Rhinolophus ferrumequinum: one gene and its partners. The protein of the gene in region 2 interacts with the protein of the main gene of each other region in a pairwise test. Links are inferred from orthologs where the notes say so. Each region holds a gene or a part of one and is shown on either strand. Other genes may lie near its edges. The genes, in order: MAP1LC3A, KXD1, C18H4orf46 and CCDC185.

What was found.
Region 1: the proteins of KXD1 (region 2) and MAP1LC3A interact in binary tests that used the Homo sapiens proteins (3 or more experiments, as listed by UniProt). The two-hybrid records come from large-scale screens. The link is inferred for Rhinolophus ferrumequinum from reciprocal best matches to the Homo sapiens genes KXD1 and MAP1LC3A.
Region 3: the proteins of KXD1 (region 2) and C18H4orf46 interact in binary tests that used the Homo sapiens proteins (3 or more experiments, as listed by UniProt). The two-hybrid records come from large-scale screens. The link is inferred for Rhinolophus ferrumequinum from reciprocal best matches to the Homo sapiens genes KXD1 and C4orf46.
Region 4: the proteins of KXD1 (region 2) and CCDC185 interact in a two-hybrid assay, tested with the Homo sapiens proteins (2 studies listed by BioGRID and IntAct). The two-hybrid records come from large-scale screens. The link is inferred for Rhinolophus ferrumequinum from reciprocal best matches to the Homo sapiens genes KXD1 and CCDC185.

Annotation. Positions count from the first base shown.
Region 1 is NC_046306.1:20,672,420-20,679,473, reverse strand, and holds MAP1LC3A (microtubule-associated proteins 1A/1B light chain 3A), read left to right. Parts: upstream 1-4,694; 5' UTR 4,695-5,130; coding exon 5,131-5,170; intron 5,171-5,437; coding exon 5,438-5,493; intron 5,494-5,577; coding exon 5,578-5,684; intron 5,685-5,952; coding exon 5,953-6,115; 3' UTR 6,116-6,548; downstream 6,549-7,054. Other genes in the region: PIGU (phosphatidylinositol glycan anchor biosynthesis class U protein), read right to left, coding at 7,034-7,054. UniProt on the Homo sapiens protein: Ubiquitin-like modifier involved in formation of autophagosomal vacuoles (autophagosomes). While LC3s are involved in elongation of the phagophore membrane, the GABARAP/GATE-16 subfamily is essential for a later stage in autophagosome maturation.
Region 2 is NC_046301.1:51,279,131-51,286,513, reverse strand, and holds the start of KXD1 (kxDL motif-containing protein 1), read right to left. Parts: upstream 3,013-7,383; 5' UTR 2,890-3,012; intron 2,878-2,889; exon of another isoform or gene 2,855-2,877; intron 2,741-2,854; exon of another isoform or gene 2,211-2,740; intron 360-2,210; 5' UTR 339-359; coding exon 238-338; intron 1-237.
Region 3 is NC_046301.1:28,016,035-28,023,573, forward strand, and holds the start of C18H4orf46 (renal cancer differentiation gene 1 protein), read right to left. Parts: upstream 3,001-7,539; 5' UTR 2,737-3,000; coding exon 2,551-2,736; intron 1,010-2,550; coding exon 854-1,009; 3' UTR 1-853. Other genes in the region: ETFDH (electron transfer flavoprotein-ubiquinone oxidoreductase, mitochondrial), read left to right, coding at 3,447-3,480.
Region 4 is NC_046310.1:12,729,202-12,735,728, reverse strand, and holds CCDC185 (coiled-coil domain-containing protein 185), read right to left. Parts: upstream 2,393-6,527; coding exon 503-2,392; downstream 1-502.

The DNA of each region.
Region 1 (7,054 bases), on a different chromosome or scaffold from region 2:
AGAGTGGGGCGGGTGAGCTGGGCCATGAGTGAGCCCTTGACCTGAGCTGGCCCTCTTTCCCCAAACACTCCTCTCAGACCTGTAGTGACCAGCAGCAGTGCTTGGCCCAGACTCAGTCCCTGCGCATGGTCTGGAGGGGACACAGACCCTCTCAGATGGGCAGTGACTCCGAGAGATGACACGTGGAGGCCCAGAGCAGAGGTCCTCAGCCAACGAATCATTTCTGAGCACCTACCTACCATGTGCTGCACTCTGTGTAGGCGCTGGGGAACAGCAGGAGCCAAACATACAGGAAACACTGTCATTAAGGGGTGTGCATGTTAGCAGAAGGGAGAAATGAAATAATAGAAGGAGCAGCAGGGAGGCAGGTCCCACACACCTTGTGGGCCATTGTTTAGCCTTTGACTTGTGCTCTGAACGAGTGGGATGCAGGAACAGCATGATCCAGCAGGATCACTCGTCAGTGTAGTGAGACCAGACTGAAGCAGGCAAGGCCAAAGCAAGGAGACCAGTGAGGAGACGATGGTAATAATCCGGAGATGATGGTGACTTTGGCATGAGTGGCAGTGGTGGAAGTGGTGAGAAGGGATCAGATTCTGGAGATATTTGAATGTAGAACCAATAGTATTTGAGCATAGATTGGATGTGGAGGGCAGGGGTGAGGGAAAGAAAGGAGTCAAAGATGACAGATGGGGACAGGGAAAATTACAGTTGGCGCACATGTATGGGAGGAAGATCATGAGTTCATCTGGGGAGGTCAAGTTTGAGATGTTTGCTAGACTTTGAAGTAGAAACAAAGAGTAGGCCAGACCTTTAGATTCAGAAGAGAAGGGGGAGAGGAGGAAGCAGTCAGCAGAGAAACCAGAGGATTGAAGGAGAGGTGTTAGTCTGCTGACTGGTCGGGTAAGAGGAAGAGTGAGCACAGACTTTGAGATTTGGGGGATGGGCCCCTCCCCCACTGCAGCCTCAGCCCAGGGCTTAGTCTGACAAAAGAGAGGTGTAACCACTTCCCCAAGGCCATGGCCAGCCTAGTTCTTTCCATTGCTCTTATTGGCTCTTATTACACTTAGTCTCATGCAACTTTGTGTTTGTGAGATTTGTCCACTTTGACACACATATCTGTAGATCAAGAGTCAGCAAACTAAGGCCCTAGGGTCAAGTTTGTTTTAGCAAATAGCCACAGCCATGCCCACTCTGGTTGTCTAAGATTGCTTCCACACTCCAACAGGACTGAGTGGTTACCAGGGCCACATGGCTGGCAAAGCCAAAAATATTTATTGTCTTGTCTTTTAAAGGGAAAGTTTGCTGACTCCTTCTCTTCCTCTTTCACTATAACAGTGTGTTGTTCTGTTATAGAAATACACCACGATATTTAACTGGACATTTAGGCGGTCGCAATTTTTTGCTATTATGAAAATGCTCCACTAAACATACCTGTGTTTCTTTGGGCTCACGTGCACTCGAAAGTAGAATCCCTGGTTTGTAAAATATGGGCATCTTCAGTTCTGATAGATTTTGCCAAATTGTTCTCCAGGGTGGCTGAAAAGATTTATACTCCCATAAGCAGCGTAAAAAGTTCCCATATTCCTCTAAAACTTGGTATAAAACTAATAAAACTAACTTTATTAGTTGGCAATCTTTTATATATATATCTACACATATATATATTCTTTTATATATATGTGTAGATATATATTTTATATATATATAAAAGAATATATATATATGAGAATATATGTATATGAGTATATATACATATATATGTGTGTGTGTATATATATATATATATATGTATATATATATATGAGAACACTGTGTTTCTCTAGGGTCTATCAGCTCCAAGTCATTGTCCTTCAATCTAGGGCGCAGCTCAGCTCCGAGGCCAGTCGCTATTTTCAGTCTTTAGTTGCAGGGGGTGCAGCCCCCTCATCCCATGAGGGAATTGAATCTGCAACCTTGTTGAGAGCTCACAGTCTAACCAACTGAGCCATCCGGCCGTCCTACCGTTTCCCCAAAAATAAGACCTAGCCGGACAATTAGCTCTAATGAGTCTTTTGGAGCAAAAATTAATATAAGACTTGGTCTTATAGTAAAATAAGGGTCTTTTATTATGTTAGATAAGATCTGATCTTATAGTAAAATATAATTTTACTTATAGTAAAATAAGACTGGGTCTTATCTAACATAATTAAAGACCCTTATTTTACTATAATATAAGACCAAGTCTTATATTAATTTTTGCTCCAAAAGACGCATTAGAACTGATTGTCTGGCTAGGTCTTATTTTCGGTATGAAACACGGTGTTGGCAATCTTTTATTGTTTGTAGATTCCTTGGGTTATTCTGGCTGTGAATGATAGTTTTGCTCTTTTTGCTCTTTTTTTAGTCTTGGTGCTCTGGCTGGGACCTCCATATAATACTGCATTTTGTTTGATGAAAAAATTTTAAATTTTGTTCCTGGCTTTGAAGGGAACAATGCTTAACATTTTACCATATACTGTGGTATTTTACCATTAAGTATAATGTTTGCTCCAAGTTTGGTTATTTTTATTTATTTATTTTTTTGGGAGAACACTTAGGAAACCATTTGGACTAGTTGGCTTTTTGAGGTATATGGCTACTCAGTTTGCCTATTTCTTTTTCATTTAGTCTTGGCAAATTATCTTTTTTGAGAAAATTGTTATTTCATCTAAATTTTAAACTTATTGGCATGAAGTTTATATAATCTTATTTTTGTCATTTCTGATATATATAGTTATGTCCTTTTGAAATTAATTTTATTTTATTGATCTTTTCAAAGATCTAGCTTTGTTTTGTGGTCCATACTAGTGTTTGTTTTCTATTTCATCAATTTCTCTTCTTCATTATTATCATCCTTAACTTTCTTTGTGTTTACATTGTTATTCCTTTTTAAAATTCTTTGACACTGCTAATAAATTTCCTGTATTCTTACCTAATATAACAAGGCTATAAATCTTCTAAATGCTGCTTTTAGCTGCTCGGAGTTTTTATTTTATTCTCATTTTTGGTTTGATCTAAATAATTTTCATTTCTGTATGATTTCATCTTTGAGTAGTAAGTTTTTTAGAAGAATGTTTAAATGTCCAAACATTTGGAGTCTACTTGGCTCATGTCTGTGGTCAGGGAATATGGTCTATATGAAACCGATTAGTTGATATCTGTTGAGAAATTTCTTGGAGTCTCCTAGTTAGGTTTTTTTTTTTTTTTTTGTAAATGTTTCTTGTGTGCTGGAAAGTAACATATTGGGTTCAGGGTTCTATCAGGGTCCATTGATCAGGACTATTGATAGTATTAAAATCGTCTATATTCTTTTTTCGACTGTTTGGTCTTCAGTTACTGAAAGAGGTCTTACTTAAATCTCCTACCCTGCTGGAGGATTTGGCCATTTTTCCTTGTATCTGGTTACTTTTGCTTTATACATTTTCAATACTTTTTTTAAACTTCTAACATACAAGTTCAGAATTGTTGTATTTTCCTAGAAAATTGTTCTTTTAACCATTTTGTGGTGACCCTCTTTATCCCTAAGCACATCTTTTTCCTTACAGCCTATTTGGTCTGATTTTCTTATATCTTTTGGTTAGTTTTTCTGAAGTATACCTTTTGCCACCTTTTCACTGTTGGTGCCCTAAGGTTTTAAATGTCCTCTTGTAAACAGCCTAGAGCTGCATTTTATTTTTCTTGGCCAATCTGATCATCTGTTTTAATAGGTGAATATAAAACATTTTCTACCTCTGATTATGCGCCATTTATAATCCTTTCTTTTTACTTTGCCTCCTTTTTCTTTTTTTCTGCCTTCCATATTTTAATACCCTTTACTAACTTTTTTCCTGCATTGGCAGTTATACTTTCTATTCTTTTAGTGATTTCTCTTAAATGTCTGAAATACATATTTGACTTTACAAAGCTAGACAATTATCATTAACTTCCTCCTCCTCTCCTATAAATCAAGCTTCTTAGAATGCTGAACTCTGGTTACCCTCTCCAGTCTTACCTGGCCCTGTGTTCAGTGCTCCTTGTTTTGCACTCCACAAATTAATCATCACTAGTCATGTTCCAATTAAGTGCTTGTTTAGATGACTTACATGTTTACCAATTTAATTGCTCACCATTTTGCCATCTAATTTCTTGTCTTTAGAGTTCTGCAAATTCACTAAAAAGTACCTAAATGCTTTTATTTTTATTTATCCTGCTCTGGATTTTATGTGAGGATCCTGGTCTTTAATTTTGGAAGCTCTTCAGGAACTGCCTCTCTTATATTCTTTCCTCTCTGGAACTCTAACTGGACATGGGCATTCTTCTCACTTTACCATTCCAGTCACTTCCTCTTTTATACTCCGTCCCATCACCTTTTTTATCTATTTAATTGCTTCTGATTATCCTCCAATTCAGAGAGATTCTCTTCTGCTGTGTCTAATCTGCTTTCTTGCCTCATTCTTTGCGATGTGAATTTCAATAGTTCTATTTTTCAATTCTAGAAATTCCTTTTTTAAACCTCTATGTTCCTTTTTAGGGCCTTGCTCTTTCATGTTTTAATTTCCCCACCCCACCTTTTTCTTTCTCTAACCATAAGCTTCATGAAGGCGAGGAGGACTTTTGGTTCACTGCTGTCATTCTCAGCACTCGTACTGTCTTGGAACTGACAGACTCGAGTGTGCGCTGTCACATGACAGTGACAGCAGGAATAGAGGATGCTGAGCCGCAGTCTGGCCTGCGAGTCCAGGCTTTCCAGGCTCTGCTCAGCCGGGGCCAGGGGGAGAGAGACCCGCGCAGGCCATGACATCATGGGACTGTGACGTGCTCTGGGAGCCCCCGCCCTTCATAGTTAGTGCGCGCTGGGAATCCAGGCTCTCTGCGCCCTGACATCACGGTCCGGGCGGGCGGGTTTTGCGTCGGCCCAATGGGAGTGGCGCGCCGGCCTCCCCTTTAAGGAATGTTGTGACCTGACGTCACCCGGGCGAGTTACCTCCCCGAGTCTCCGCCGCCGGGCTCAGCGTGAGCCCCGGAGCCCTTGAGCGCGAGGTACAGAGCCCCCGGAACCCCTGAACCGCAGCCACATCCCCGCGCCGTGCGCCCCGGAGCCTCGGCCTGTGCGCCCGCCGGGCCCGCGAGATGCCCTCGGACCGGCCTTTCAAGCAGCGGCGGAGCTTCGGTGAGGCCCGGCGGGCAATCAGCGACAGTGTGTGTGGGGGGGTGGGGGGCGCGACCGACAGGGCTGCCGCAGGTGACGTCAGCCCGGTGACGTCAGGCTCCAGCTGGACCCCAGGCTGGCAGGCAGGTTCAGGCCTGGGCCCCGGCCTGCCCGACGGCTCCAGGGGTGGGGGCTTTGGGGAGGTAGGGCCGGAGGGGCCACACCTCTGGGACAGGCGGAGTGAGCCGCGAAGAGGGCCCAGCTTCACTGCCCGACCTCCTTCCGCAGCCGACCGCTGTAAGGAGGTGCAGCAGATCCGCGACCAGCACCCCAGCAAGATCCCGGTGAGTCCCTCCGCCCCCTAAGCTCCCCGCCCGGCCCCAGGCCCCGCCCCGGGCTCACGCGTTGCCGCCCCACACGGTTCCCAGGTAATCATTGAGCGCTACAAGGGTGAGAAGCAGCTGCCTGTCCTGGACAAGACCAAGTTCCTGGTCCCGGACCATGTCAATATGAGCGAGTTGGTCAAGATAATCCGGTGCGTGGGCAGTACTGTCAGGGGGGACTCGGGTCCTGCTGGGGTCAAGCAGTGGGCCAGGTCCTGAGAAGGGCTCGGGTGGGGCAGGGCATGGGGCGTTGGGTACCTGTTCTGGGGAGGGTGGGAAAGGTCAAGGTCAGGGCTGGGGTCAGCGTCAGGTGAGAGCCTCTAGATGGGGCTGGGATGCGTGGGAATCAGAGGCTGGGCATCATTTGGGGGAAATCTGAGCTGCGCCCACCCAGCAGCCAGGGCCTCCTGTCCACCGCAGGCGCCGCCTGCAGCTGAACCCCACGCAGGCCTTCTTCCTGCTGGTGAACCAGCACAGCATGGTGAGCGTGTCCACGCCCATCGCGGACATCTATGAGCAGGAGAAGGATGACGATGGCTTCCTCTACATGGTCTACGCCTCCCAGGAAACCTTCGGCTTCTGAGCCAGCAGTAGGGGGGGCTGGCCTGGGAGTGGGGGGCCCTGTCAGGCTCTGCCCAGGGAGCTCCTGGCTCCTGCACTGAGCTGCCTCTGCCTCTTAGGTCGGGGCAGGGATGCCACCCCTTGGGGGCACCAACCACTCCATCTCTGCCCTGGGTAGATCCTGAGCCAGTCATGTTAGGGTTGTCCCTCTGGGTGCTGGCGGGTGGGGAGCAGCCCCCAGCACCCCTGCTCTGTCTGGTTCGTTTTTTTGTTTGTTTTTTTTTTAGGCCCCTGCCTGTCTGTCCACCTGCCCCTCCCCCACTCGAGGCGCTGTCCCCAGCCTGGACCCACCCACCCCTGAAGGTCTGGCCCCTGGCTCACCTGGCCTTCACATGGTGTATGAATCTGTGGGCATTGTCCTTCTGCAGAATAAAGATTGCTCAGGCCTGCCTGGCCCTTTGCCTCCAGCTGCTTGGGAGGGGTGGGGAGGACTCTTGGTGGGGCTGTCTCATGCTATTCTTGGCTCGCCAGTGCACATACTTGGATCCTGTGGATTTAGGGTTCATTCTGGAAACCCACATCCTTGTGAAGTGTACCAATGCAGTATTAGGGGCCAAGCCCACGTCTTCATAACAAAAACCATTTATTAAGTACCCACAACCTAACAAACCCTTCTCACCCTTCTTCCCTTTTCCTGCCTGGGAGGGGGCTCCTTGGTGTGCAGAGAGACAAAAGGGGGGTCCAAGTGGAGGTGCTCCTGGCAGCCAAGGTGCCACAGACCTTGCTGCTAGCCTTGGCTCCTCTTTGGTGCCAGGATTCGTGACACTGGACTTGAACCTCTTCTAAGGACTTGTCTGCTGGCACCTCCGGCTCGAGGGCTTGGCCCAGCTTCTGGCCTTCCCACCCCATGAAGTCCATGCAGCCTTGTGCCCAGCCAGGCCTATTTGAGCACAAGCATGGC
Region 2 (7,383 bases):
TCTCTACCCTCCCCCGCCCCCCCAAGCCTTCTGCAGCTGTGAAACCATCTCAAAGCCCTGCTTCCTATGCCAAGGGCTCGCCTCCAGGCCAGGAAGGAATTTACTTAGGAGCTGGCCAGCAAATTTGCTCATTTCCTTCATTTTATCACCAGTGAGGGGGCGGGCTGGGCAACAATGCTGGCTGGCAAGTGGATTCCTTCCCACGCCTGGAGCCCAGGCTGCTTGGCCACCACTCACATGTTCTTCTGGGCCAGGATGATGGCATTGACGTCATCCACATTCACCATGCTCAGGATGCGGCTGCAGAAGACCCTCGAGGCCGAGGCCGGGGGGTCCATGTCTTCCTCCTCCGCCGCTGCCTGAAACGGGAAGAAAATCTGCAGTCTGCACCAGGCACATGGGTGGGTGGGGGGTTGGACAGGAGGGGCCGGGAACCCCACAGGCTGCCTGGAAGTGGGTCGGTCATGCCACCTCAGCCTCAGCTTTGTCATCCCAGGAATTCAGGGGTATTTCGAGAACTCCAGAAGGTCACATTTATAACTTGCACCCCAGCACATCGGAATCCCATCTCCCCTCCCCAGCACCCATTCTTCATATGCCCAGGGCCACTGGCACCGTCCACCTGCACAGATCTAGCTGCCCACCTCCTCCCACACCCCCTTGCCTTTGCCCATTCCCAGCTCAGAGCCTACTGTCCCCCCGGCGGAACATGCACCACTGTGCCGTCGGATCACCCTCACCTCGTGAGATCCGTGAGGACTATCCCTACCTTGGTCGTTCTCATCACCTTGTTTTAGTTGCTTCCCTGGCTCACCTCTGCCTGAAATTCCCTTAGTTAACAGTTGACCTGTTTGCCTGTCACCCCCACAGCACTGCCAGCTCCAAAAGAGTACAGGCATGTGTCTCCCTCGCTCACTGCTGTCTCCAGAGCCCAGCCCAGAACCTGGCTCACAGCAAGGAATCACCAGAACTTCCTTTGTCAGAGGCAAACAGGACTTTCAAACTCAGCTGTAATGCTGAACTTTTAACAGCAAATAAAGCCAAGAATTTCAGGCACTTGCAGCCAGTCTGTGGACCTCAGCAACCCAGAGAGCTGTGGGGCTCTCAGCTTCCCTAGCATGTAGATGACCGTCCCAGTGGGTTGGGCTTCCTGGATCAGGCCAGGGCAAGAAAGGCCACAGCTTTAGCGCTGACCCTACTGGTGGGGAGCTTCAGGAAAAACCCAGAATCCTGACATAGCTTGGTTCTGGAGCCCACATATTTAATGGCCGACAGAAAGGCCCACTTGCCATTGGTTAAGATTCACACACAGGATCAGTAAGGGCTTTCAGAGCCCACTTAATCCACCCTCCTCTTTATTTAGCACCTACTGTAAGCTAAACAAGGTACCAACTTTATACATAGGAACTGTTACCCTTATTTGTATGTGAGAAAACAAGCTCAGAGACTGAGGCACTGAGCTATCGTCACGTAGCCAGTGAACCTGAGTCACAAATATCCACGGTCCGCAGGATCCACAAAGGTGTGACCCTGTACAGATGTTCAGTATCCACCCATGATAGCACAGCTGCTTCTTACAGCAGCTGCTTCCTGCCAGACTTCTGATTGCTTCCAGGAAAAATACCCAGAAATGTGCATCCCCCCCTCCCCCGTGAAATCACCTCATTTGCAAATTTTAGCAAATAACCCTCTTTTCCCCCAAACACCATGGGGCCAAGAGTATTTATGCCATGAATTTGGCTTAGTGCTTTGCAGCCCCTACATGCCTTCTGGAAATAAGCTGCCACACCTGGTGAAATCCTCTCGCCCTGCCAATTAGTACTATTTTTTGAGCTCCTATGTGCCAGGTACAGACATTCACAGTCTCCACATTTCCAAAAAAGTGTGATCACGTATAAAGAGGCTACTTGGGCTCAAAGGGCAGTCCCTTGGTGGGAAGCCCACAACTAAAGCCTGGCAGGCACAAGATTTGGACCTGCAGGAAACGGTTCTGCTTCAAAGTTGGGTTCTTTCCTGTCTCTGGCTCCCATATGTGAGATTCAAGGCACATCCTTCCACTGCCAGCTCCTTCTCTGAGGAAAGCCTTCCCTAACAGCTATTGTGGACCACGTAAGGGTGGAAATAACCCAGCAAGCGCTCTGGTATCTGTTCTTTTTATGAGGGAAACACGCTGAGAGGGAGGCTGTGTGACTTTGGGAGAGTCACCTCACCTTTCTGAACCAGTTTTCTCATCCAGAAAATGGGAATAACAATCTCACAGTCCTGTTTGTGGGGACTGAAACCAACGGTGATAAGCTTAATTCCGAGCAGGCTGTTTCTCCAAGGTGAGTGTTGAAGACGTTTTAAGTTGGGGCGCGGGAATCAGCATTTTGACGAGACCCTCTAAGGTGTTTCCAAGAACATGAGCAAATTTAATCCCCAACCACGCCTATGAGGCAAACACTCTCATCTCGGAGGAGAACTAAGGCTCACAGGGGCCGGCTCAATTGCCCAAGGTAAAACGGCCAGGCGGAGAGGCAACGCGATTCCACCCAGGGCATTTAACAATTCAATTTGGTGGCCCAAGCTTAGCAAAACCCTGGAGTGGGAGCGAGGTTCGCATATCCCCTCACACCCCGCCCCTGCCAAGCGCAGAAACTGAAGCCCAACCAGGGCAACGCCCGGTTCTAGGTGACACAGGCGGCCCCAACTCCCGCACCCTGGACCTGGATCAACTGAGCAGACAGGGAAACTGAGGCCTGTGCGCAGGAGGGGTGCCCAGATGTGGCCAAAAGCGCGCCCCACCCCACGACAGCCCCAGGGCCGCGCTCGAACCGGCCCGGCTCCCCGGCGGCCCCGGCAGCCCCAGCCCCACCCCAAACTCGGCCCCGGCGTCGGCGGCAGCGGCACCTGCACATCTGGCGGCCTTGCTCGCGCTTCCGGGATGGCGCCCGCGCCGCCCTGATGTCACCACGCACCATGCGCACGTGGCGGCGACGTGCCCAGGGCCGATTTGCGTGCGTGGAGGCGCGGCAGGAAGGGGGAGGGTTTAGTCTCTTCGCTTGTGCGTCACAACACAAAGCCAATCAAGCAGTCACTCTCTCGCCTACGTCGCTTCCAAAGCCCGAGCTTTCCAGGCTGGGAATCAAATTCACCGGGTTCAGGAATCCGTGTTCTGCTGTTGCTGACTTTTTTCTGGTCCATTACCATCCAGGATCCCACGTTGCATTTAATTACATCTCCTTAGCCTCCTCCACTCTGTGACAGTTCCTCAGTCTTTTCCTACTCTTTCATGACCTTAATACTTCTGAAGATTTCTGGTTTTGTAGAAAACCCATCAATATGGGTTTAATCCAGTGTTTCCTCCGGATTAGACTGCAGTTAAGGAATTTGGGCAGGAATCCCATAGAAGCGATGCTGTGTCCTCAATGCGTTATATTGAGGCATGCGATGTTGACTGACGACTTGCTTAAGACAGCGTCTTGACGGTTTCTCAACTACGAAGTCACTGTTTTCACCTTTCTAATTAATAAGTATCTTATGGGGAGCTACTTAAGAGACAATGCAAATACTTTTTTTTTTTTAACATTTTAAAAAGCAGTTGACACCCACAAGTTTTAGCATCCATTCATGGCTCTTGTCAACAATTTTTACTTTTTTCTATTTATTAATTTAATTATTAATTGGAATTTATGCTAAACAAGAGCTGTCCACTCTCCAATTATGTATTTATTCACATTTATATTGCTCTGAACTCATGAGAATTTTATTCTGTTATTTATCTTGCTGCCCCTTTAAGTGAATCACCTACGTTCTTTAATATGTCTTCCATCTTTCTCTAAGAAAGTAAGAAAGTAAGTACTTTCTTACTTTTGGCACAAGATTTTCCATGTTTGCTTTGGCATATCCTTGGAATCAGCAGTTTCTCCAAGGACACTGGTTCCTGTTCTTGGAGAATGGTATTTAAAAACCAAGGTCTGGGTGCTGGGTGTGCTCATTGCTTAACCACGCTCTCAGCTGTCAGAGTTAGCAAATACATAGTATGTCTACTAACCTATGCATACACACATCTATATTTACTCCTACATCTGTCACCTTGGCTATATACTGAAAACCATAAACAAAACGGGGCAATTACAAAATAGTAATTGCTTAATAAATATTAGCAATTCATTATCATTAGTTATGGAGGTCTTATAATGTGTGTATGTTATACGTCTAATTTTTCTGGGTCTCAGTTTGTTAACTGTGAGCCTGGGTGATCACCACAGTTGCCTTTTAAGGTTCTTGAAAGCTTGGGAGATAAACACATACCATGCTCTGGGGCACATGAAAGACTCTTTAAGAGCTCTGGAATTGGATATATCTGAGTTCTAATTCCAGTTCTGTCACATCTTAGCTGGATGGCTTTGGGCAAGTGGCTTAACCTTATGAAATCAGGCAGGTGAGTTCTTTACACGTCTTGGCCCACTGTAAGCCCTTGGTAAACTGTATTATTACCCGCATGTTTTGCTGCCTTAATTCACTGAAAAGTTAATACAGACCAGGACTCTTAAACACTTAGTTCAAAAGTCTAAAAAACTTGTCAGTAACCCTCTAGCCACCCCCTCTGGATTTGGCCCATATTCTGGGAATCCAGAGAGTACTCAGTCCCTGCCTAGCCCTGAAGGATGGAGGGAGACAGAGTCTGACTCAGACACTCCCAACCCTGAGTGGAACACTGCTGGGTTAGAGGGAGGAGAGACTCAAAGCTGGAGGAACCTTAAGAGTGGGGGTATGAGAACTCCTTTTAAGGGCAAAGAAGAAAGTATGTCTGGATGGGGTTTTGAGGTAGGATTAGGAGTTTTCTAGGTGCTGACTTTCATTCAAGGCTGAGGGAATCACAGGAGCAAAGACAGGGTGGTGGGAAAACATTTAGTCTGGACTTGATCTTTTTAAGAACTGTAGAGCTCAGTGAGCCAGGTAGCAGCCAGTGCTGAGAGGGGAGCACTGGTGGGGGCTGCTGGGGAAAGTGGAACCATGACTCTGTCTGCAGGCTGCAGCAGAAGAGGCCCAGGCTGAAGAAATCAAGCTTTTCAATGGGTCCCTTGGGCTCTGTTAGAGGCCAGGAAACATTTACGAGGGTCCCGGAAGAGGTGGGGGCTGCACATTGAGGCCAAAAGGGACTTGGCTGGCCCCAAATGTTTTGTGCACAGTGGAGTAGAGACAAGAAAAATATTTTCCTCCTTTGTGTGTTTGAGGGAGAGGGTGGGAAATGATGTGACTGCTCAGTTGCCCCAGTGATGGGGACATTGGTGGTGGGGGAGGCCTAAGTCTGGGCACTGGAAACCTTTCTCTGCCACTTTTTCCAATTTTATTTCTTACATAGCATTCATCATAGCTGCAGTTAGATACTTATCTGCATTATTGTTTATGCAGTATCCAGCTCCCTGGCTGGAATAGAAGCTCAATGGGGTAAGATACCAGGCCCACTGTGCCCTTCATCACTGTGACCTTGAACAAGTTAATTAACTTCTCTGTGCCTCAATTTCCCCATCTGCAGAATAAGGATAATAAGAGTCTTACCAAAATACATACATCGAATTCTAAAGAAGGCAAGAGAGAGAAAAGGAGCATAGAGAAGGTATTACAGAGAAAAAACACGAGAGGGCAGATTTAAGTCCAAATATGTGTGTAATTACATTAAATGTGGAGACCAAATGCCCCAATTAAAAGATAAAGATGGGCAGGATGGATCAAAAAACAAAACCTGATTCTATTCTGCTTACAAGAGGCACATATACAACATAAGGGTACCGAAAGGTGGAAGATAAGGGGTGGAAAAGAATGGAAACTTTAAAAGATAAACCAAGAGAATAGGTGTGCAATCTTAATATCAAAGTCCACTCAAAAGCCAGAAGCATGGAGATAAAGAGGGGCATGTCACAACAATCACAAGTTCTGTTCACCAGGAAGATGTAACGATTGCAACTCTGTACGTAGCCAATGATGTGGATTCCAAATATCAGAGTATTTGTCTCATAAGGCTGATGGGAGGATTAAATACACAGTTTTTGCCTACACCTGTGACACCGGAGTCTCAGCTGTCACCGTGTTTCCCTGAAAAGACCTAGCTGGACAATCAGCTCTAATGCGTCTTTTGGAGCAAAATTTAGTGTAAGATTCGGTCTTATTTTACTATAAGACCCAGTCTTATGTAATATAAGATATATAATATATAATACTATACTATACTATAATGTAATACTGGGTCTTACGTAATATTATATAAGACCGGAGCTTATATTAATTTTTGCTCCAAAAGACGCATTAGAACTGATGGTCCGGCTAGGTCTTATTTTCGGGGAAACACGATATTATTGTTATAATTGTTGATGTTATTAGTTTATATTTATTTTAGTTGTTTATGTATAGTATCTTTTATTACAATTCCTCTAGCCCATGAAAGAGGTAAGGCTGAATGGGTGCAGATAAAGACATTGAAGATCAGAGATGAACAGGTAATAGTCCAAGTCCCTCAGAACTGGGATTGACCCAGGGTTTGATATTCTTCCTAGGCAATTCCTCATATATCCTCACTGCTTTCCCATTTGTTTTGGCTGATGAGCCTGCTTCCTTCCTTCCACAATGATTTCCCCAAGTCCTCCCACCCTCCACCTTTTGTGCTCTGCACTGTGCAGGCCTCAGGACTGAAACAGTGAGAAACAACGGACCCGTTACAGACTTTGAGGGTCTCCTAGACTAGTGGGCAGAGGTAAGGCAAGTAATGGCACGGATAAAAGTCAGTGAGTTATGAAGTGGAGGTTCATGGGTCTAGGAACAGCCAATTGGGGCACCTGGCCTTGCCTTGGGGAGGTCTGGGAGGTCTTCCTGTAGGAGATGACCTCCGAGCACTGATCTAACAAGTTAGTTCCCTCCAAAAACTAGTTACCTCCTCCAGTGTTAGCTACCTCCAAAGCCAGTTTCATTCATTTATTCAATTATTAGTTCATTTACTGAACTCCCATAGGTGCTAGGCATCATTCAAGGAGGTGTGTGTGTGGGGAACAAATCAAGCAAAATTCCTTTTAGGTAGGAGCAGAGTTGGGAAGAAAGGAGAAGAAGCAAAAGAACAAACAAGATTATTCTGGATGGTGGTAACTGCTGGAAAAAAAATAGAGCCAGGGAAGAATAATTGCCCCTCCTTTCAAAACAAGATCCATAATAACCCATCTAATCGAGGCAGCCACCTTCTCCAGGGACCATGGGCACTTTATCACTCTCTGGCACAAGGTACAGGGAGGAGTAACTACCCCCAGCGGCCCTGCTCGCTCAGTAGCTCACCTAGCCATTATTGAGCTCCTCCTGTATGCGTCAGGCAAGTTCCCGGAGATTAGACAGACCACACAGGGGAGAAGGGGTACC
Region 3 (7,539 bases), about 23 Mb from region 2:
CTATAATAGTGATAAAGCACTTTAAAGACAGCAATCAAAAATACAACAACATCAAATGCAAGAAATATTATCTGTAGAAGCAGTTAACCTTAGAAATAAATAAGGAAAAAATATGCATTCTTTCCAGACATGCTTTCATTTTCTGAAGTAAAAGCTTGTTTTAAAAAGCCTCATAAGAGGGCAAAAAATGTTTAAATTTTTAAAAGCTGTCATCAGTTAAAGTTCAAATCCCTGTAAAAAAAAAGGGAACATTTTCCTTCAAGTCAACGAGGTTCTGATTCAAATATTTTTTTAGAGAAACAATTATAACCTTCATGCTAAAAATGGGGAAAAATAACAGATTTTAATTGTTGTTACCTCTTTTACTCAACAAACGCTTAGTGACTGTTGTGTGATACCGTTCTAGGAGCTGGGGATATGGAAGTAAGTAAGATACAATGATTGGTTCCAGGGAACTTAGCCTAATGGAGCTGGATCTGACATTACTAACCTTAAAGTTCCCTTTCTTGGTCTGTAAAATGAAGCTTAACTTCAAACTCTGCCATTCTTGGTATCTTCCTGCAGATCAAATAGAATCATGGTTTACCAAGTTTGCTACTGGTAGTAACACTGTGGTATTATATCTACTGATGAAATTAACTTTCGTAAAAGACTCTATGAAAGTTTAGAGGACAGAAAGTATTAAGATAAATACCCGCCAGCCTCAAAAATAACATCAGTGTTCTACTTTCACAAAAGTGAAGAAAACCAAGAAAAATTTCATTTTGAGTATACAGAACTACTGGAGATTATCCTACTATACATATGGTACATGTGCAAATATAAATGAAGTATGAGTTATTACACAGCCTAATCAGTTGTCAGTCTTCAAAGAATCATAGCCTTCTTTCAAGAGGTCCCGCCATGTTTTAAGGAAACGTGCATTTTCTGTACATTTGAAGGCAAGCTCTTCCACTTGAGCTGATACAGCAGATGTGGCTTCAAGAAGTTTGGTTAACGAAAATGCTGCCTGAAATTTAAAAAAAAAAAAAAAGTCAAACAATAGAAGTCTATTTTTTAAATTCTCATTTTATTAGTCTAAAAATAGCTTAAAACCTCAAATCCAATGTCCAAGTTATTTTCTTTAAAAGTAAAAAATCTTCAAACTAAAACACCAGCCCTTTCAGGGTACCCAAGAAATTCTTTAATATGAAGTAAGCTTTGAGGAAATATGTCTGCTTGAAAGATATCCTTTATGTATGAAACATGACAAGTCAGGTTTTTGCTTTTTGTTTTAAATTGAAAATACACTGGAGTCTCATTTAGTTCAACAAGATGACTTGGACCCCTTGAGACTAAGTACCAGAAGTATCTGAAAGGCTTCATCAGAAACAACTCTTGATATTTGGGTAACAAGGGCATTGTTCACTATTTCTACCTGTGAATACTTTGGACCATGAAAATGTACAGACCAAAGAACAGATACTCTGAGCTGACAAATAACAACAAAATCAAAACACATGCAGAAAATATCCAACTCTTGATGGAAAACTCACTTCTTAGTTAAATGTTTTCTTCACCTACGATATAAAAATAATTGTTCCTAGGTAACACATCAGCACTCCATTCTACATATTCACTTGAGACCAGTCTTGTGTTGTTCAGCAAAATTAGAAGCTGTATCAGCACTTTATTCATCTTAAAAAAAAAAAAAAACGAATACTTGTTGAGCCATGACATAATCGAGCTCTTTCCTGAGTTTCCACTTTGCACAGGAGGGGTCTATTCCACAAAGTTCTCCCAGGAAGATTACACCCTACGGCGTATCACTTGACCTACTCAAGAGACCTTAAATACTGTGACCCCCTCCGGTGGTGTGTGTGTTAGCGTTGCAGATGAGTGTGTGTACGCGCGCGTGCGCGCCAGTTTCTGGGACTCCTAGATTTAACAGAAAGCAACCAGACCAGGCGTTCTAACCACCATAGGAAGGGATATGTGACTACACGGTTAATGAAACCAATCTGGGCTACAGGGGCAGCGACCAACCCCTCCAAACTGGATGCAGCGCCAAAACAGGCCTGAAACTGGCAATAGGCCTGAGACTGGCTCTGGGCAGGTGACCAACTAGAACCGCAAGCTTTTACGTCCCACCGAGAGAAATCACAGCCTGATTTGAAGCACCCCCAGACAGCAAGGGCGAAGGATGAGAGGGCAGACAGAGCCAGCACAAGTCCGCTCTGTAGAGACCGCTCTGAGTGGTCTCGGGTTACAGCCGCTGATTGAAACCAGAAGGCGAGGCAAAAAGAAAACAGTGAGGGATGGGGCGGGTAGAGGCATAACCCCTAATTCCGCAACACTAAATATAAAGGCAGAATCCCGCCGGACGGGGCCTCCGGGCGCAGGCTTCCCCCACCCCACTCCCCAGCCCACACACTCAGGGGAGAGAAGCGCCAGACGCGCCAGGTCGGGTGTGCGGACACCTTGTCCGTCCCTCCCCGGCCCCACCGCAGTCTGTCTGCCAACAAGCACCGAGTGGGGACGCGGGCCCGGGACCTGTCGGGCGATACTCACGTCTCCGATCTGCAGCTCCACTTCCTCCAGCAGGTCCACCGTTGGGCCGATGCTCCTGCTCGGAACTGGCCAGTCTAAACGTACTGGGACACCAGGGGAAGACGCTGCAGAGGCATCTGAATACGAGGGAGAGAGGGAAGGCGGCGGGGGCTGCGAAGAAACCTGCACCTCCTCAGGGTCGGCCATGGAGAAGGGCAGGGACGGTGGAATCCGAACTTAGCTGCCGAACCGACACCAACTGCCTTTCAACCGCTGGCGCCCAAAGCCCAGAGGCCCTGCCTCCTCCCACCCGAAGTCCCGCCCCGTCTCCTTGTGGATGTCTGCCCAATGCCCCTAAAACGGTTCATTTTTCCGGGACAGCCAATCAAATGTCGGTCAATTTACCTTGGGCAGCTCACTGCTCCTGCGCAAAGCTCCGTGCCTTGCTTAGAAGGCACTTCAGCAGAAGACTACAACTCCCAGGATGCCGTACGTGTCACTCCGTCTCTCACTGTTTTCCGGTCGTGCGCGTTGTACTATGGGATTTGAGGGTTCTTCCCACCCTACTCTGTCGTCTTCAGCACGTCTGGGCGAGACGGAGGCGGAGACGAATCCGCAACCTGAAGCCGCGGGCCGCTCTGGAACTTGGAATCCCTTTCCTTTTCCTCTTCGGGTACATGACCCGGAAGCTTCTGCTGGTCATTGCGTCATGCGCGGCGCCGACGCAGAGCGAGAAAGAGGCGGTCACGCTGTGAGTCAAAGTGGTAGGGTGAACTGGGAGGTAAACTTCAGCAGAAGGGTTGGTGCTTCCTGGCGGGTGATGGTGCCCCCGGAGGCATAGAGGTCCCGCGCCCGGGGCGAGCCACAGGCTGTCTTCTTTCAGCTGTGTCCGACCGGGAGTCCTGGTTACAGTGAACATGTTGGTGCCGCTAGCCAAGCTGTCCTGCCCGGGTGAGCGGGAACTTCGGGGAGGGATAAGTGGAGGAAGGTCGAGTGATTAGGGAGAAACGGACAGGGTCACACCTGGGGGCTGTGGACACCTTTCTCCTTTCATCTCTCATTTCGTCGGCTTTCTCATGCTAAACTAGGACAAAGGTCATATTGTCTGCGCCTGGTGGTGGACCCTAGATTCCTTCCCATGGGATTCGTTGTCCTAAAGGGAAAAAATTGACAACTAGGCTAAAGGTCATGAGCGGAGGAAAGTTAATCAACACGGCCTCCGGGTGGACTCCTGAGCTGAATGGTGCCAAATCCTGGTCCTGACACTTATCCCAGCGCTCAGGTATTGTCTGTTACATTGTTAGAAACGGATAAAATAATCTTTGCACGGTTTTTCTCCGTGGTCCTGACCTGAGTTGCATGGCCTTTACAGCCATGCTAGCCGGTTCTTAAGAATTTGAAGTCTGATCTGTCACATCATAATTAACATTCATATGCTTCCCCAGTCACCAGATTATATCTGGAGCCAGAGATTTTTCTACATTGTCTAAAATTAACTCTACGGGCTTAATCATGTTATGGGTGCACCTAGAGCCATCACGATGACTTGTGAAAATACCACATTAACTCTCCTTTCATTTAAAAAAAAAAGAATGATGCAGTTAGATGGTGTTTTGTTTTACTTGAAAACAAAACAAAGCTCTTAAATTCGAAAAAAAATTCACTACAGGGTGAAGAAAAAGTTCACTACAGTTGAATTCTCTCACAAATGGCTTTATTTTTTATCTTTAATTTTTGGTTATGGAATAAACAAGTATATATATATATATATATGGCAAATTTAAGGATATCATTATGTAAATTTCATTAAAGTAGAATTTTGTCAGATTTGTTCACCATATATTAAATAAATAGAATTTTGTTTGAAGTTCCTGTTAACTTGTGCATGTATTACTAATGTATAGAAATGCCTTTGTTTGTTTGTTTGTTTGTTTGTTTGTTTGTTTTTGCACTATCAGAGTAGTCAGATGCCATCTGCCCTACTGCCTAATTTAATTGAAGCCATTCTTGGGCCAAGTGCTAACAAAATTCCACCAAAATTACCATTTCCATTTTACTTGGATGCTTAAATCATTGCCATTTTCATAGCTTACTGTTAGTACTACTGGCAAGGATGAGATAGACATAAATGTGCTGTCAGTGCGACTTTGATTTGGTGATGTGATAAGTTCAATGGACTTTGACCTCACTTCTCTACCAAAATTCAGCCAAGGTGTGTTAAGTGTTCAGATCTTTAAAGTGAAATGTCAGATTTGTTTTCAGAAAAGATTAAAGGTCGTGACTTTTTTTTTTTTTACCCCCTAGAGGAAATCAGACTACTCAGTTCCAAATATTCTCAAAAAAAACACTAGCTGTATAAGCAATAGAATTACAGATTTGTCTGATACCAAATCATCCGTTTTCAGAAGCAAATGATAACTTCTATACACTAAAACTACAATGCATCATACATCTTAAAATATTTTAATAAAAATATAAATATATAATGAACATTTGTTACAACTGGTGAGTCCATATTGATGCATTATTATTAATAATAGTTTATATTAGAGTTCACTGGATGTGTTGTACAGTCTATGGGTTTTGACAAATGTATAAAGACATGTATCTACCATTAATTACATTGTCATACAGAATTGTTTCACGGCCCACAAATTCCTATGTTTGATTTATTCATCCCTTCCTCTCTCTTCCTGAACCTCTGGCAACCACTGATCTTTTTACTGTCTCTATAATTTTGCCTGTTCCAGAAAGTCATATAGTTGGAATCATATAGTATAGTATGTAGCCTTTTCAGATTGGCTTCTTTCAATATGAATTTAAGTTTCCTCCATATCTTTTCCTGGCAACTAGCTCGTGTCTTTTTAGTAATAAAGAATATTCCATTGTATGGATGCACCACAGCCTTTTTATCCATTCATCTGTTGAAGGCCATCTTCCAAGTTTTGACAATTATGGATAAAGCTGCTGTAAACATTCACATGAAGTTTTTTTTAATCCTATATTTTCTATCTTTTATTATAATATGAACACTTAACATGAGATATACCCTCTTGAAATTTTTTTAAATGGATATAATACCTTATTATTGACCATAAGTCCAATGTTGTGTAGCAGATTTCCAGAGCTTATTCATCTTGTTTGACAGCAGGTTTTTGGGTGGATTAATTTTCCACTCATTTGGGTAAATACCAAGTAGAGCAATTGCTGGATCATATGTAAGAGCATGTTTAGCTTTATAAGACACTGCCAAACTGTCTGCCAGAGTAGCTGTACTATTTTGCGTTCCTGCCAGCAATACTTGGGAGTCTCTTACTCCCCATTCTCGTCAGCATTTGGCGTTGTCTGTGTTTTGAATTTTGACCATTCTAATAGGTGTATGGTGGTATCTCTGATTTGCTATTCCCTAATAATATAAGATGTTCAGTATCTTTTCATATGCTTATTTTCCACCTGTATATCTGTATTTCTTTGGTTAGGTATCTGTCCAGATCTTTTGCCCATTTTTTAAATTGAGTTTATTTTTTACTTGAGTTTTATGAGTTCTTTGTATATTTTGGATACCAGCTGTTTATCAGCTTTGTGTTTTGTGATGTTTTCTCCCAGTCTGGCTTATCTTTTTATTCCCTCATGTTGGCCTTTCAATGCTTCTGTTTTATAACTCTGGCTTGCCTTTTCACAGAGAATGACACTAAAAAAGCACTAGCGTATTTTATAATACCACGGTGAATCATAAGTGAGTACTATAATGAAGGAAAGTATAGAAAGGACTATATAATATTCAGTCACCAAATATTTATACCTATATATAGGCTAACACTGGGATTTAGCATACAACAAGGAAAAGAAAAATACTATAGGACTATGCTATGTACTGGGGAATACAGAAAACTAAGCAATTTATGTTTACATCTTTTATTGTTCATAGTTGTTTAAAATTTTTAATCAAATGATTTTTGAGACTTTTACCATACTTAGAAAAAACCTTTCCAAATCCAAGATTCTAAAAAAAAAAATTACCAGTGTTTTCCCCATAACCGTTTGTGTGTGTGACTAAATGCCTTTTTAAATAACAGTTTTATTGAGATTTAAGTTACATACCATACCTTTTACACCAGGTAAAGTGTACAATTCAGTGGTTTTTAGTATATTCACAGAGTTTTGCAACCATCACCCCAGTCTATTTTAGAACATTTTCATCACCCCGGAAAGAAACCCCATACCCATGAGTCACTCCCCAACCCCTCCAGCCCTAGGCAACAACTAGTCTATTTTCTGTCGCTATAGATTAGTTTGTTCTGGATGTTTCATATACATAAAATCATGTAATATGTGTGTTTTTTATGGTTGGCTTCTTTCACTTAGGTTTTTAAGGATCATCTATGTTGTAGCATATATGACTATTTTATTGCTGAGTGCTATTTCATTGTATGGATATATCACTTTTCATTGATTAATTCACTAATGGACATTTGGGTTTCCACTTTTTGACTGTTATGAATAATGCAGCTACGGACATTTATTTGTATACAAGTTTTTGTGTGGACATATATTTTTATCTTAAGTATATACCTAGGAGTGAATCGTGGAAACTCTTTATCTTTAACATTTTGAAGAACTGCCAGACTGTTTTCCAAAGTGGCTGCACCATTTACCATTCCCACCAGCGGTACATGAGGGTTCCAACTGCCCATATGCTCATCACCACTTGTTATTATTTGCCTTATTGATTCTAGCCATCCTAGTGGATGGAAAGTGGTATCTCACTGTGGTTTTAATTTGTGTTTCCCTGATGGTTAATGATGCCTAGCATCTTTTCATGTGCTTATTGGCCATTTGTATTATCTTCTTTGGAGAAATGTCTGTTTAGCTCCTTTACCTGATTTTATTTGGGTTATTTGTCTTTTTTTATTATTAGAAATAAGTTCTTTATATATGCTAGGTACAAATTTATTTTCAGACGTATGATTTGCAAATATATTCTCCCATTCCATGGCTTCTCTTTTCACT
Region 4 (6,527 bases), on a different chromosome or scaffold from region 2:
CAGAGCCTTTGAACTTTTCATGTTTAAAGGGGGGACGCAGTATGCAGGGATCCCAAATCTACATGCTTTTTCTTTTTCTTCTTCTTGGAGATTTCTTATGACTGGTACTTCACACTTCACCCTTTCGTAAATTCTGGGAGAGGAAAAAACCATGACATAGAACAATCTCTCCTACTGTAGATTTTTCTCTGGTTCCTCCAAGATGTGCCCGATATGTGCTTCTCAGATTACTTGAGAGCTAAATGCATCGTTTCTATTTAAGTCAACATTCACAAAGGCAAGTAATTTTCCTAAAATTCCCAAACGTCTATCCCTCACCCTCTCAACGACCCAAGTGAATGGACAAACTAGTTCACGAGAGGAAATTGTAGCTATTTTATAATTTTTTTACTATCAATGCTCCCTTATAATCAGATTATAAATGGAATCACATCACCAGATGTCTTTCCAGCCGCCTGGGCGGTGAGCTCTCACTCTCTCTCTCTCTCTCTCTGTCAGGTTCTCAGTAGCCCCCTCTCTGCTGACCCACACGGAGCTGGGCCTCCCGGTCCAGCTGAGCAAAGAGTCTGTTGGCTCCCACGTTGTCCCTCCTGGAGGCCCTGGAAATCTTCTGGAATTCCTCGAAGTTGGCATCTTTTTCTCGGGCGAGCTCTTCCATCTGCTCCTTTTTCCTAATGGCTTCCTTGATGCCCTCCACGTGGCACTTTTCCTCCTTCTCGGCTTTCAGCTTCAGGATGTGATGGTTCTTCTCCCGCAGGATGTTGAGCTCTTGCATGTGCTGTTCCTGGTCCCTGAGGTTCTTGTGGACGTTGCTCCTGTCCTGCTGGAACTGCTGGTCCGCCAGCTCCACCAACAGCTGCTTGTGCACCTTCCTCTGCTCTGCCAGCTGCTCCGCACACCACTTGACTTGCTGGAATTGCTCCTCCTCCATCCGAGCCTTCTCCCTCAGCTCGCGGTGACGCTCCCGAATCAGGCCCTGGTGGATCTCTTGGGACCACTGGGAACTCTGTTCCAGGGACAGCTTCCTGAGGAGTTCCTCAGCCTTGGCCTGGCAGTCCATGAGGACCTTCCGGGCCTGGTAATTGACTAGGGAGCTGAGATTGGCTTCCTGGACCTTCCTCTGGCCCCCGGTGGGGTGCAGCTGCTTCTTGTCACAGGCCTGCTCCGGCTTCTTCTGCACCTCCAGGCTGCTCTGCTCCCGCTGGTGCCGCACCACCTTCTCTTCCTGCTCTTGCTGGCGCTGGACCTGGCAATGCTTCCTGTGATCAGCCTCGGGGCGGGCCCTTTCCAGCTTCTCCTGGCGCTGGGTCTCCGGGCCCTCTGATTGCGCCTTCCACTGGTTCTCTTGCTGGACCATGTTCTTGGCGTGGCCGTCCTGTTTCCGTCCAACGTGCTGCTCCCCGCTCAGGCGAGTCTTGCGCTGCTCCTTCTGCAGCCACTGCTCCCGGCTCTGCTGCAGTAGCAGCTTGCGCTCCCTTTCCAGTGTCATCTGGACCTTCTGGTCCGAGCGCTTCAGCTCCTCCCAGGCTGCAGCCGCCTGCTGCTGCAGCTCCCGCATCCTCTGGGCCTTCTTGAGACGGGTGAGCACCAGCGCCACAATCTTCTGGTCCCTGGAAGACGTTACCGCCTCTTCCAGCTTGTTCTTGAGGATCTGGGTGCGCTGGCTCTGCCTCTCCTTTCTGGAGACTGAGGGCTGGGAGTACTGGCCGGCTAATAACTCCATGCCATCACTACTGTCCCTCCTCTGGGTGGACACGCAAGCGAACGCTTGAGAGGGCGCAGACGACTTCTCTGTGGGGACTGAGGACAGGGAACAGCAATCTTGACCTCTGTAGACCGGCACTGCCCATGGGTCTCCACTCTGTCCCTTTTCTGCCCTGAAAGTTCCACTCGGGGGCGTGTAAGCACCCGTGGAATACGGTGGGGGCGAATCTCCCTGGGCTGGGGGGTAGTGTTGGCAGGACTGGGGCCGTTGGGGTGACAGCTGGGGCTGCTGCGGCCAGGCTGGCCTGCACCTACTTCTCCCCAGAGGGTGGGGCTGGGTCCTTGGCTCCCCGCAGGCATCTTCCAGGCGCCGGCTGCGGGTCCCGCGCTTCCTGGTGCGGTCTGGGGGCTTCCGGGCCATCTCTCTCAGGCAATGGCTTTCCCGCAGTGAGTTGTGGGGTGACTGGCGCCGGCGAGGCCGCAGGGTGGGCGAGCAGTGCGGGGGTGACAAGGCCGCGGCAACCTCACTCCCCTCGTCCGGAGTCCCAGCCCAGGAGCCCTGCGCCGGCTGGGTCTGGGGTCTGGGTCCACGCAGCCGCGAGGAGGAGGACGCGCGCCCTCCGCCGAGCGGCGGAGGCTCCCAGAGGTCTGGGTAGGGCAGCGAGGAGAAGTTGCCTAAGCCCTTCATGTTCCCTCCCTGCGCGCGCAGCGTATGAGCCAGGGTGCTGCGGCCTCCAGGGGGTGCTGCTGAGACCCGCCCCCGGCCCTCTGGGGCAGGGATCCCTGGCGCCTGTGACGCTAGGGCCACTTCACAATGCCCCAGTCGCCAGGGTCCTGCAGCCCTCGGCCCTCTCCCACCCCTGCCTCCCTAGCATTCGTACTGCGATGGGGGCAGTGGGAGGGGTAGAAGGCCGGGGGAAGGTGCAGGGTAGAGGGGAGCTGTAGGAAATCAGGGGTGACCCTAAGAGCTGAGGGTGTGTAGTGAACCCCCACCAGCATTTCAGGCAGGAATTTGATCTCACATCTATACACTTTAAAGCAGCAGGCTTTTAAAAGGACCTGAGTGAAGCTGTCACCCCAGAATGTAATGTGGAGGGAAGGATCGAGGGGGTCGGGGCGGGGGGTGGAATCCCCTGAGCCAGGCTTAGCCTCAGTCACCACCCCTTCTTCTGTGTACCTATATGGAGTCTGCAAAGTACGCGGCTGTGGAAGCACATTAATATGTACAACCTTTTTGCCTGCTTAAGTTAGCAAATCCAAAGTGTGTTTTGGTTACTTTTTAAACTTTAGAACAGGAAAAAGACTTGTCCATTTTCCCCTAACGTGACAATTCCTGCTTTTGTCAAAATGTGAATGTCGTGTGTACATTTCTGAAAAAAAAAATATTTTTGACCCTTTTCTCTAATTTCATGAGATTATTTTTCCTTGTTGAGGTACCCTAGGCTATTGGGAAAAAAACGATTTGGTCACGCAAACATGAGTTTGAATGACCTCTGCCACTTTCCACCCGTGTGGTCTTGGGCAAGTTACCTGCCTTTCCTGACCCTCAAATTCTGGAAAAGTGGAATGGACGAAGGGCTGATGATAACACACGGCATTGCAGAGCCGTCCTGAGGGTCAGACGAAATTATGTGTCAAGAGCTTAGCACCTTAATGCATTAAACAAATATTTTGATGTCCTGCTAGGCTTCAGTTAAAAATTGTAAGACTTAATATATGGGTTAACGAAAGTTTCTGTGGATTCCTAGCTTAAGAAAAAAAGAATGGGCTTAAGGTGCTACTAAAACAGTTTAGGTGAAGGGTAATGTGCTAGCGAGGGGCGGCCCCCAGGCTCTTGCACGTTCATCCTGCACTGTGGATCTTGGTTAAGTCACTTCCCTTCTCTGAGGTGCAACGCGGGAACAGTTTTGGTTGACATTCTTCAAAGAGGGTGACTCCTTAAAGAAGAAAAATGAAGATTGACTCACCCCTGTCTTCTTTACCCACATCTACTTGGAGTTTCACAGCAACTGCAGCTGTGTGGGCCCAACAGAATTGACGTTTGCTTCAGACGGGTCTGAGAGTTGGCCATGTTAACTGATTTCCCCAAAGAGCACAATGTCACTGGCGGGAGTTTTGACTTCAGATTCACTTCTTTTTCCATGACATCGTGCTGCCTCTCAGGAAATGCAGTTTGAATGGATGCATGTGTTATAGATCAAATGTTTGTGTCCCCCCAAATTCATATGTTGAAGCCCCAGCAGCCCTTAGCGTGTTGGTATTTGGAGGCAGGGCCTTTGCTAGGTAATTAGGTTTAGATGGGATTAATGTCCAAGGGACCAAAGCTTCCTCTCTCTCCTCATAAGGACACAGCCAGAAGGTGGCTGTCTGTAATCTGGGAAGCAGGCCCTTACCAGAATGGATGGAGGCAGCACCTTGATCTCAGACTTCCCCGCCTCCAGACTGTGAGAAATAAACATCTGTTGTTGAAGCCGCTCAGTCTGGGGTGTTTTGTTATAGCAGCCTGAGCTGCCTAAGATGACATGCTTTTAAGAAAATTATGATGAGATATACACCAGAGTGTCATGGTGGCCAGGTCCTTGAAGCCAGGTGGTAGCAGCCTGGACTAGAGGAGCTGAGCCCTCCTCTTCCAGGAGCCCTCTCTGCCTGGGTGGGATCTCCGATGTGGTCATTAGCACGTTTATAGCTGAGGATAAGTTGTTTCTACCCTAGATTTCTTTTTTATTGGGGGGGAAGGGCGTTCAGCTTTATTGAGGTATAATTGACACAGTTGTAAGATACTTAAAATGTACAATGTGGTGGTTTTATAGATGTATACATTGTGATAGGCTCCCTCCCATCCAGGTAATTGACATATCCAGCCCGCTGGTCGCTCTTTACCTTCACAGCCCCTACTTTCCAACGACCATGAGGCTGAGAGTCGGTAAGGCTGTGTTTTGTATGAGTGAATACTAATATCTTGAGGGATAGAACAGGCTGTGTTCTGGTCCTTTCTCCTTTTTAACTTCTACCCTAGATTTCTATAAGCGCCACTCAGACCATTGTTAGAGAAGTTATCTGTGGTTGTCATTTGTATAAGGAGGCAACTTCTAAAAAAATTAAATCAAATTCGAAACGGAATCATTTCACTTTAAGCTAGGAAATATGGAGGCATGAACTGAATTGTGCTGATACCTGAGTGTCATCTCTCTTGGTTACGGCTCTGCCAAGCATTTTGCAAAACCAAATGGGGCTCTGGCCAGTGCCAGGCTATTTCTTGTCACAGAGAAGCAGTGTCGTGTGGGAGAAAGCATAGCTGTGTGAGAGCTTGCACGTGTAGACTGGGTGGAGTGAGAGTAGCAGAGGACCAAGACATAATTCGGGATAGAGTAGCCGTTGTGGGAGGGGAGAGTTTCACGAAAAAGCGAAAAAGGAAGGTGGGCTGGACCCTGATGCCATAGCGCGTTGACTGCCAGGCTGCACGTTCCAGCTTTCCAGGGAGCTCCGGGATTCCTTACAGCTGCCATGGGTCCCATAGGATGTGGGGCTTGAGAACTTCAGGGCAGATTCTCAGGCCTCTGTCCCTGCTTCTGCCCTGACCCTCTGTCCCCACAGCAGCTCAGATTTTAGGTTTTGTATCCTGGGGCTCTTGGTTTCATCACATTGAAAAAATGTAAGGTTCTGCTTATAAAAAGCATTGAAAACCACTGTGCAGATGGCAGTGAAAAGTCAGTAAAAGTCTTGAAACCAAAAAAATTACCCAATTGGGTCTATATTTTAGAAATCTTACCCTGGCAGCAGTGTTGAGGATAAACTGGGGAGTAAGGGGAGGGGAATTGGAGACAGTGGCCAGTTAGATGGTTGATTCACTAATCTGGGTGAGCCAGCAGGAAGTATAAACCTGGACCGTGGCAGGGGGACAGGAAGGGATGGATTCAAGGGACTGTTCGGAGATCGAGGGACCATGATCTGAAGATGAGTTCCATCTGGAGAAAGAGGGTTTCTCACCTGGGTGCCTGGGCAGATGGTGAGTGCCAGTGACAAGAGGTCTCCTTCTAGGAGACCTTGAAAAGAGTGATCTTGGAAATCAGGTGAAAAAAGATGTAGTAATAAGGGAACCCCCACACAAAACAGCAAACAGAATATGTGGAGGAGACTGACAAACGGGAAAGAGACAGCTTTTCTCTGAGGGGCCTGGGGGGGAAGTGGGAGGGTGGTTGGAGCAGGGCAGCGGGAGCAGGGCCAACCTTCTAACCAGCATCTTTAGCATCTGACCCCTGGGAGGATGACAATCCCAGAAGCCACTGTCAGCTCTTGCAGTAGGCAGATGAAAGAGATGTTTTGCAAATGTTAAGCTGCCAAGCAGTCCCTTGATACTAAGAACCACCAGCCTCCTTTTTATTTGGCAGAAAAATCCTCAGTGTAGTTCACTGGCGGCCCCAGAATTTGGGACTTCTGCCAAATGAAGACCTGGGCCTCGTTTCTTCATTTGCTGGAAGCTTGGAAAACACGGCAAAATGTGCTCTGCTTCCACAATTCAAATTAACTTATGGAACAGAACTGGGCTCTGGGCCCTTCCTCAGAACGGCTGTTAGTAGTTACTGTAGTGGCTTCAGATTCGATCTCTTAGCAAAGCTTCTAGTTCTTGGATGGGTCAAAAGGGGGAAATCAGCGAGAGCTACTCTGTGCGATACAGCAGCCAGCGGCCACATTGAATGCGGATAGTCCCAATTGACATGTGCTATCGAGATAAAATACACCCTGGATTTCAAAAATTTACTATGGAAAAAAGTAAAATATGTCAATGCTTTTCTTTTTTATATTAGTTATTTGTCAAGATGGTA